Linked DNA regions of Bombyx mori. Each later gene encodes a partner of the first gene's protein in a complex. Links are inferred from orthologs where the notes say so. Each region holds a gene or a part of one and is shown on either strand. Other genes may lie near its edges.

The links.
Region 2: ribosome biogenesis protein BOP1 homolog (region 1) and pescadillo homolog share a complex: the UniProt entries of both Homo sapiens proteins name them as parts of the peBoW complex. The link is inferred for Bombyx mori from reciprocal best matches to the Homo sapiens genes BOP1 and PES1.

What each region holds. Positions count from the first base shown.
Region 1 is NC_085124.1:470,780-474,638, reverse strand, and holds the end of ribosome biogenesis protein BOP1 homolog, read left to right. Parts: intron 1-709; coding exon 710-928; intron 929-1,128; coding exon 1,129-1,232; intron 1,233-1,371; coding exon 1,372-1,691; intron 1,692-1,758; coding exon 1,759-1,908; intron 1,909-1,981; coding exon 1,982-2,135; 3' UTR 2,136-2,757; downstream 2,758-3,859. UniProt on the Homo sapiens protein: Component of the PeBoW complex, which is required for maturation of 28S and 5.8S ribosomal RNAs and formation of the 60S ribosome.
Region 2 is NC_085116.1:5,444,737-5,450,066, reverse strand, and holds the start of pescadillo homolog, read left to right. Parts: upstream 1-1,821; 5' UTR 1,822-2,024; coding exon 2,025-2,048; intron 2,049-2,126; coding exon 2,127-2,360; intron 2,361-2,450; coding exon 2,451-2,822; intron 2,823-3,447; coding exon 3,448-4,171; intron 4,172-4,549; coding exon 4,550-4,755; intron 4,756-5,044; coding exon 5,045-5,320; 3' UTR 5,321-5,330. UniProt on the Homo sapiens protein: Component of the PeBoW complex, which is required for maturation of 28S and 5.8S ribosomal RNAs and formation of the 60S ribosome.

The DNA.
Region 1 (3,859 bases):
TTCATATTTAACTGAGTTGCAACGCACCCTTAGAAAAGATTGACTGAATTGGTACCGTTTTGCTTAATTGAAATAACGGAGTCCGTACTATAACAATACTACATGTTCACCGCAGCGCGCCGGCTCGGCTCATGCCACTCATTGCAGATTGAATTAGGGTAGGCCACTTTCGGTCAGAGGTCACAGAACAAAGTTGCAAATTAAAATATATTGTAAAAACTAAAAACAGACACTCCAATATCAAGCTGCACTAAAATTCCAAATATTTATTTTGTTATCCGGGTGGTCCAGTCAGGACATTAGGCCAAAGTAATATTTAATTGTATTGTATTCAATCCCAGATGCGTGAGCCACAATTAGATACATATCGACGCTTGAAAGGCAAAAGTGACTAAGCGACAATAACTGCTTTGCACATAAATGATAGGCAATAACCATATTTGATCCGCAAAAAATATATATTTCTAGGTCTATTAAAATCATTTCAATCCTACAGCTACTAGCTAGTTTCTACTACAACTGGATTCGTTAAAATAAATTTTGTTTTCAGGTATTTCAACTTTAAATTAGTCTACTGTAAAGTTCACGCATTGTCGCTTAGTCACGTTTGCCTTTCAAGCGTCGATATGTATTTAGATATAGATTATGTAAATAAAATTTACAAAAAGCTCTATAAATGCGTAATAAAATAGTTTATATGCGGTTTCAGTATGGGAGACTAGTACGGGTCGCTGTCTCCGCACAATAGAGCTAGGCGAGCCCGTGAGCCGCGTGCTGTGGAGCCCCGCGCCCGCGCTGTGGCTGGTGGCGGCCGCCGCCGGGAGCCGCCTGCTGCTGCTCAACCCGGGCACGCGCATCGGCCACCACCGCCGCGCCGCGCGCACCGACCTGCTGCTCGACGAGCCGCCCCCGCAGCACGACGTGCAGCGTGAGCACTCACTCAACAACTCATACTTCATTTGGATGCGATGACTCACTTTTTTTTTTCGCTATCAAACAAGTTTTTATCCGCTTTAAATCAGTATATCTCAAATAAATGCTCTAAGCTAAAAAATAAGCTTTCTAGTCCCCCAAGTCTTGTAAGAGTCGACTAATGTACTGAGTGTGCTAAAATGTCATAACGCGCAGCGGACGAGCGCACAGCGTCTGCGGTGAAGTGGGAGCGGGTCACTCCGGAGGACTGGGCCAAAGGGATACGCATTGCGATCACGCACTTTAAGCCCATCGTGCACGTAAGTTCAATTAGACATTTTATAGATCGCATTTAAATTAAATCTCTTCTCGATCTTTAGATTCTGACTTTAAAAAAACCCACCCGGGTGCTTCCCTTCTCGTCAATAAAGACGTCCGTTGTAAAGAGTGCGTGCGCAGGTGTCGTGGCACGGGCGCGGCGACTACGTGGCGGCGAGCGTGCGCGCGGAGGGCGGGCGCGCGGTGTGCGTGCACCAGGTGTCGCGGCGCCGCTCGCAGCTGCCGCTGGCGCGCCTGGCGGGGCAGGTGCAGGCGGCGCACTTCCACCCCGCGCGCCCGCTGCTCGCCGTGGCCACGCAGCGCGCCGTGCGCCTCTACGACCTGCTCAAGCAGGAGCTGGTGCGCAAGCTGCGGCCGGGCGCGCAGTGGATTAGCGACTTCGCCTTCCATCCCGCCGGAGACAACATGCTCGTGGCTTCTTACGACCGGAAGTGCATGTGGTGCGTACTGGTCCTGAGTGCGCGGTCGCGTGCTGCAGCGGGGTGACGGTGCGGCGCTCTCTTGCAGGTTCGACCTGGAGCTGTCCCCGCGGCCCTACCAGACGCTGCGGCTGCACGGCGGGGCGGTGCGCGCGCTGGCCTTCCACCGGCGCTACCCGCTGTTCGCGACGGGCGGCGACGACGCGCACGTGGTGGTGTCGCACGGGATGGTCTACAAGTACGTGTCGCCCGACTGCCGCCGGAACGCGTAAACTCCTTCCCGTACCTAATGAGTGTGATGTTGTCTGCAGCGATCTCCTGCAGAACCCGCTGATAGTCCCGCTCAAACAAATCCGCGGCCCAGAAGTCAAGGACGAGCTGTGCGTGCTGGACCTGCGCTTCCACCCCACGCAGCCCTGGCTGCTCGCCGCCGGTGCAGATTCTACTATCAGACTCTACTCTTGAAACCCAATAAGAAAAACTTTAGCACACAATATAAATAGCACTATTATTTTGATGGAATGTCCCTTTTCTTACACTGCGGCGGTGGGCGCGCGCACGTCCCGTGACCACCACTGAGTGCAACAAACTGCCACATAGACATACATATTATCAATCATCCTACCTATTGTTACTGTAAAACCCTAATACATTGGTTTACATTTATCTCATATCTCAAAGTGAACTGCAACTTTTACATCATGTTTGTGGGCCTTTTTGGACTGGGGGCAGAATATTTTAAGGAAAACCCACATTGTGGGGGCACCTTCGAACCTTGCCCGAGGCAAAGACCATCGGTACCTAGTTGTTGGCTTTCTTAAAAGTCAATTATTACCTTTATATATAGTTCTGGTGATATAATTAAGAATGATTTAAAATAACAGTTTTTTTTTTATCTAAATCATATTGATATGTGTATTTATGCAAGTGTTCCTTCTCATATGTAACCAGTTATGTTATGAAACAGCCATATATAACATACATATGTATATATTCCCACATAGGTATAGCAATAAATTTAATCAGTTTGTAATGAATTTAATCAGTTTGTAATGAAGCTGAATAAATATATAAGAAAAAATTGAAATTGCACTAGTGATTTTATATGAAGCCTAAATTATATAATTTCAGTATTATTGGTGGTAGGATGTCTTGTGAGTCTGCACGGGTAGGTATGTATCAACAGTAGCACCGCCCTGCCTATTTCTGCCGTGAAGCAGTAATGCGTTTTGGTTTGAAGGGTGGTGCAGCCATTGTACTTTTATAACTAAGACTTTAGAACTGATGCCTCAAAGTGGGTGGCGGAATTTACGTTGTTGATGTCTATGGGCTTCTGTAACCTCTTCACACCAGGTGGGCCATGAGCTCGTCCAACCATCTAAGCAATATCAAAAAAATGTGAAGTGTGTAAAGGAAAATACATTTTTAACTAAAATTAATAGTTAGAAGCACATTCACGGTCTTTAATTACTGCACTACACCAGTATTGTCTCGTCCGAATAAAGTACATTTCTCCACAGTTTAGCTGTCCAGTTTTCATACCTTCTTGCAATTACAAGCCTGGACTGTCTATGTCATCGTTTCAACAGGGACACTTTTCTTACTATCCTTTCGTGAAACTATTCTTCTATGAAGCGCCTTCGAATCTTTTATACAACCGATTCTTCTCGCGAAGTTTTATTATTACTATTGTAGAAACGATCATTAAATGAACAATATAAATTAGTTCGAATAAATTTGTTCGTTGCGTTGCCTCCAAAAGACCCATAGAAAATCGATTTGAATAAAAAAGTCGTACACTCATAAACATAACGTCCCGAGAAGTTACGTTCAGCGGCTTTGTTTCATTTTCCAATATTTGTGCACTTTACAGATATTAAATAGTTAATAAACCACCATTATTACACATTTAAACCCGAAGAAACGCTAAATAGACAAAATAAAACAAATCGCACAACTTCACTTTTCGCGTTCCCGCTAAAAAGTACATTAATAAATTTAATAAGTTATTTTCTTAAGGGATTTTATGACGTGGTAACTAAGACCTTTAAGTCAAGTCTTAATTTTTACTAAAAAGCTATTAAAGTAGGTATATATAGGTTAGTTTGGTTTATTTTTTTACATGACGTTTAGCGATCGATGTTTACACTAGTCTACTATATCGGTAAAACAGGTTGTGTTTGTTCTAC
Region 2 (5,330 bases), on another chromosome or scaffold:
GGTCAGTGCGTTTCCGTCACAAGCATCCGAAAGTTTAATTCCGTGTTTGGATCCTGCTAAAGCGAACATTCCCCAATATTCTCCGTTTCATTTTTTCTATCCCCAAATGATGTCTGCATATACAAAAGCAATGAGCATTTTAAAGGAGGCTGGTGTTAATGAAGATACTGCCAACTCTGTGATGCCAACACCGCCGATGTGGTCGCCTTATTCTTATCCTATGTACGTAATGATGGATCCTAGTACATGGACCAAAAGTCAAGGAACAACTCCTGCTCCTAATACTAAGAGCGAAAATAAATGATTTTGGATTTTAATATTATTTAGATAAATAAAAAAGGATTAATTTATAATATTATGATAATTATTAAATAAATGTAACTGGATTATATATTTTCTTATTAAATAAAAATTCTCAAGATGAACCTTAATTAAATTAGATCTTCAGTCGAAATGAACACGGGAGCAAAACCTTTGCTAAGTTACGATGATTTTTTTCTTCGATGAACGTTTTCTTTGTAATTATTTTGTATCTTAAGTTCCATGAGAAGTTATCTGAGGAATAGTTCCAGTTTTTTTTTTTTTTTATTGCTTAGATGAGTGGACGAGCTCACAGCCCACCTGGTGTTAAGTGGTTACTAGAGCCCATAGACATCTACAACGTAAATGCGTCATCCACCTTGAGATATAAGTTCTAAGGTCTCAGTATAGTTACAACGGCTGCCCCACCCTTCAAACCGAAACGCATTACTGCTTCACGGCTGAAATAGGCAGGGAGGTGGTATCTACCCGTGCGGACTCACCAGAGGTCCTACCACCAGTATTTACGCAAATTATAATTTTGCGGGTTTGATTTTTATTATCCGATCTTATTCCTTCATCGTGGAAGTCAATCGTGAACATTTGTTAAGTACGTATTTCATTAGAAAAATTGGTACTCACCTGCGGGATTCGAACACCGGTGCATATCGTTCAACACGAATGCACCAGAGGTCTTGTCCTTTAGGCCACGACGACTTCAAAATTCTGATGATGATTCCGCGAACCCCATTTAGCCACTGCAGTGCCCGCCACCGTAGCAAAACTCACACATATCACCGACCTGGCAACACTCAATTCAACATTTGTGATCTTTTTATCACAACACCATGCGGCTCTGGAATGAAATCCCTCCTACAGATGTGTCTAAGGTTTTGCAGCATATATCCTCCTTCATCAAACGAGACTCGAAAAGAGTTGTTTTGTAAACATTACAGAAGCTCGGCTAAGCCACTGGGATTATTCATATTTGTGAGCATCGGTGACGACTCGGTGATCTAATAGGCCGTGTGCTCATCTGTCTTCTAAGGTAATAAAAGGAACAAATTTGTGCACTTGCAGCAGCTTCACTGTGCCCCTGGCGTTGCCGACCTTCATGATATTTAAGCAGCTTGTAGTCTTTACATTCTTTGCGGAAATCTTTAATATTTATGGGATTGCGTAGTTTTATTTAAATAATATCTCAAACATATTTTTTCATACATGTAGTACCGAAATAGAATACGACCGAAACCGATCAGAAGATCCGGTGAGTAACTTAGCGAGTTGATGTTATGGGTTAGATTTCATGGGTTTCAATGGATTAGATTATCGGGGTCCCTATGCCTGTTCTTAGCGTTAGAGTTTCAGGCGTCTGGTAAAAATGTGAGTAGACCAGCTAGATCTTGAAGGATGTCCTCTCGTGTCAAGCGTCATCATCATAAATCACCTTCACCTCATTTCATCCTTATTATTTTCACTTATCAGAATGTTTAATGTTTAGACTGTATAATGTGATACTTTTGCCTTTTCTGTTGGAAAATGGAACTACTACTACTGTCAAAAATGTCAAAATGCTGTTTGGATTTTGATTTGATCTCCAAATCTCCATTAATCTTTCTAAAATGTGCGAACTTGTGAAATAATAATAGACGCACATTCAATATTTAATACAACCAAACAAAAAACCTTTACATATTACTTTCTGAACAAGGATAACAATCACAATGGTGTCCAAAAAGAAGAAGAAGGTGTGTACTTACCTATAAATCGAACACGTGTTTTATGTTGTCTTCAAAGATCCTAACCAACAAATATTTTATTTTTAGTATTCTTCCGGAGAAGGAGCTCAGTTTATGACCAGAAAAGCAGCGCTTAAGAAACTACAACTATCCTTGAAAGATTTCAGACGTATTTGTATTTTGAAAGGAATATACCCCCGAGAACCTAGAAACCGAAAGAGGGCTCAAAAAGGTGCAGGCGGAATCAAAACACTTTATCACACTAAAGATATAAAATTTTTACTACATGAGCCAATAATATGGAAACTGAGGGAACTAAAGGTAAAAAATATGCCAAAAGTAGCAATATAAGTAATACTTTAAGTTTATTTTCAAAATTTTGTTAAAACTTACAAAATGACTTAATTTTAGGTTTATCAACAAAAAATTCGTCGTGCAAGAGCACAGCGAGAATATGGCAAGATGAGAAAGTTTTTGCGGGACTATCCAGAAATAAACATTGATCACATAGTAAAGGAAAGATACCCCACGTTTGTTGACGCTTTGCGAGATTTGGACGATTGTCTCACATTGTGCTTCCTATTCAGTACTTTCCCATCATTGAAAAAAGTTCCAAGAGACCAATCATTCTTGTGCAGAAGACTGACAGTTGAATTCATGCATGCAGTAATTGCTGCTAAGGCTCTACGTAAAGTGTTTGTATCGGTTAAGGGATTCTATTATCAAGTTGAATTTGAAGGACAAACAATAACATGGATTGTTCCACATCATTTCTCATTCCAGGTACTTGAATGTTTATTATATAAGTTTTAACAAACATTAAAAGATGATCAAAAATATTAAATAGATACAAAAATGTACTAAAGAAAAACAAAAACATTAAAACTTGCCTCTACAACTGTTAAGTGGTCATATGGGGTCAGCACTTATATTCATGTTCTGGGTGGGACTAATCTAGATACTGAAAGCAAAAGCTGCTCGACATAATAATATACTTGGTTTCATTTATTAACTGTGATAGGGTGTCTTGTGAACCCACACTAAGGTACCACCATCTTGTCTATTTCTGCCACATAGCCATAATGCATTTTGATTAGGAAGGCAAGTTTGCTATTGTATAGTAAACCTGAGACTAAGAACTGTTGTCTCAAGGTGTATGGTTGCATTTATGTTGTTGAAATCTGTGGGCTCAATAGAAAAGAGTTAGTATGTTTGTTCTCTTTACATTCCTAAACCATTTATTTCATTCTGTAATCATTCACACTAGGGAAGATTTAGGTCATAGTGCTATCTAGATATATATATACCTTAGGTGGCATGCAGTATTTCCAAAACACTGATTTTTTTTCTAGAATTAGTGGAGTGTGACTGGTGTTCACTAGTATTTATAATTGGTTTTTTTTAACAGCCACAAAGCAAAGATGAAGTAGACTTCAAAATTATGGCGACATTTGTGGAATTTTACACTATGATGCTTGGTTTTGTGAATTTCAAGCTGTATCACTCACTGAATTTAGTTTATCCGCCTAAACTCCCTATTGGTTTCTCTTCTGAAAAAGACAAAGACCTTATTGACGAACAATCATATGTGTCAGAACGTATAGCTGCTATGAATATTTCACCTGCAAAAATTGAAGGATCAAATGAAGTTGAAGAGTTACCAGAAATTGACATATTTCCCACAGAAGATAATGATCCCCAAAAACTAGAAGAAGCCAAACTTGAGGCAGAAAAAATTAAAAAGCTAAAAACATTGTTCAAAGGGTTAAAGTTTTACATAAATAGAGAAGTACCCAGGGAACCCTTAGTATTCATAATTCGCTGCTTTGGTGGAGAGTGCTCATGGGATAAAGATCACTTTGTAGGTGCAACATTTGATGAGACAGATGAAACTATTGCCTACCAAATAGTAGACAGACCAAGTATGGATAAACAATACTTATCGCGATACTACATCCAGCCGCAATGGGTTTTTGACAGTGTTAATACAAGAACTTTGTTGCCAATCAATAAGTACTTGATTGGTGCTATTCTTCCGCCTCACTTGTCACCATTTGTTGACACTATAAAAGATCAAGTATACATACCACCAGAAGAAAGAGAGCTTAACGATCCAAACTTCAAACCACTCAGTAAGAATATTTCAAACAAATTTTATCTAATGAAATATGCTAATCTTTTTCAGTGTTGGTTTTATTACTCCAAATAGGTAGACACAAAATTTCAATATAATTATGACTGATCTCATATCTCATGGTGGGTGGGTGCTATTTACATTGTGATATTTTTTTCACTTTAAACCATGTGGGCTGAAAACTTATATGCCATTTTTATATTCAGTATTAATATATTCAGTCTTAAGTAATATTTTCATTTATATCAGCTGGCAATAAACATATCAATGGTTAATTAGAAAGCTTGCGCCATACATTGTTTGTGCATAATATAGAAGGTACAGCTCAATGATCTTAAAATTAACCATTGTCATTTAGTGATATTTATTCAAACAGATGCAGATTCTTCTGGAAGTGAAATAGAAGAAGCCAGTGATGAAGACAAGGAGGAGCAAAATGAGCCCGACTCTGAAGATAGTGATGCTGAAAGAGCTATTACTAAGCAATATCAGCAGGAGGTTGATGAAGATTCATCTCAAGATGAAGAAGAAAATGATGATGATGATTTGGACCCTGAGAAAAAGAAACTGGCTAAAGAGAAGGTAAAAAAAATCCCACTACATAATATGAATGACTATAATTTTACTATTGAAAATCAGAATTTTCTATGTTTTCTACCTTGATTTTATTCAGTTTGACCTAATTTTGATAATGTTCAGTTTTATTAATATGATTACAACTTTTTTATAAATAATAACGATAACTTAGAACCAATTTTTTCTTATTAATGATAAAAATCTTAGGTTTCATGTGAATAGAAAAATAAATCATTATAGGAGATATAATATAAGTTTGATAGTAAAGAATTTATATATGATGGGTTATTTTCAGAAAAAATCAATGAGGGTAACGACAGGTGTAACCCATAAAGAACATCCTTATCAAAAAGAAATAGAAGACAAACAGGCATTCCGGTTACGCGAGAAGCTAGTACGAAAGAAGCACCGCAATCTGTATAAAAGTATGAAAGCAGGTCAAGAAAAACGTAAGAAGGAAATATGGCTGCTTAGGAAAAAACGTCGCCTTCACGACGAGAAGATCAAAGATGAAAAGAAGGCAGAAAAACGGAAACAAAAAATGCAAGCACTAGAAGCTACTTCTATTTGAGATTTATTAA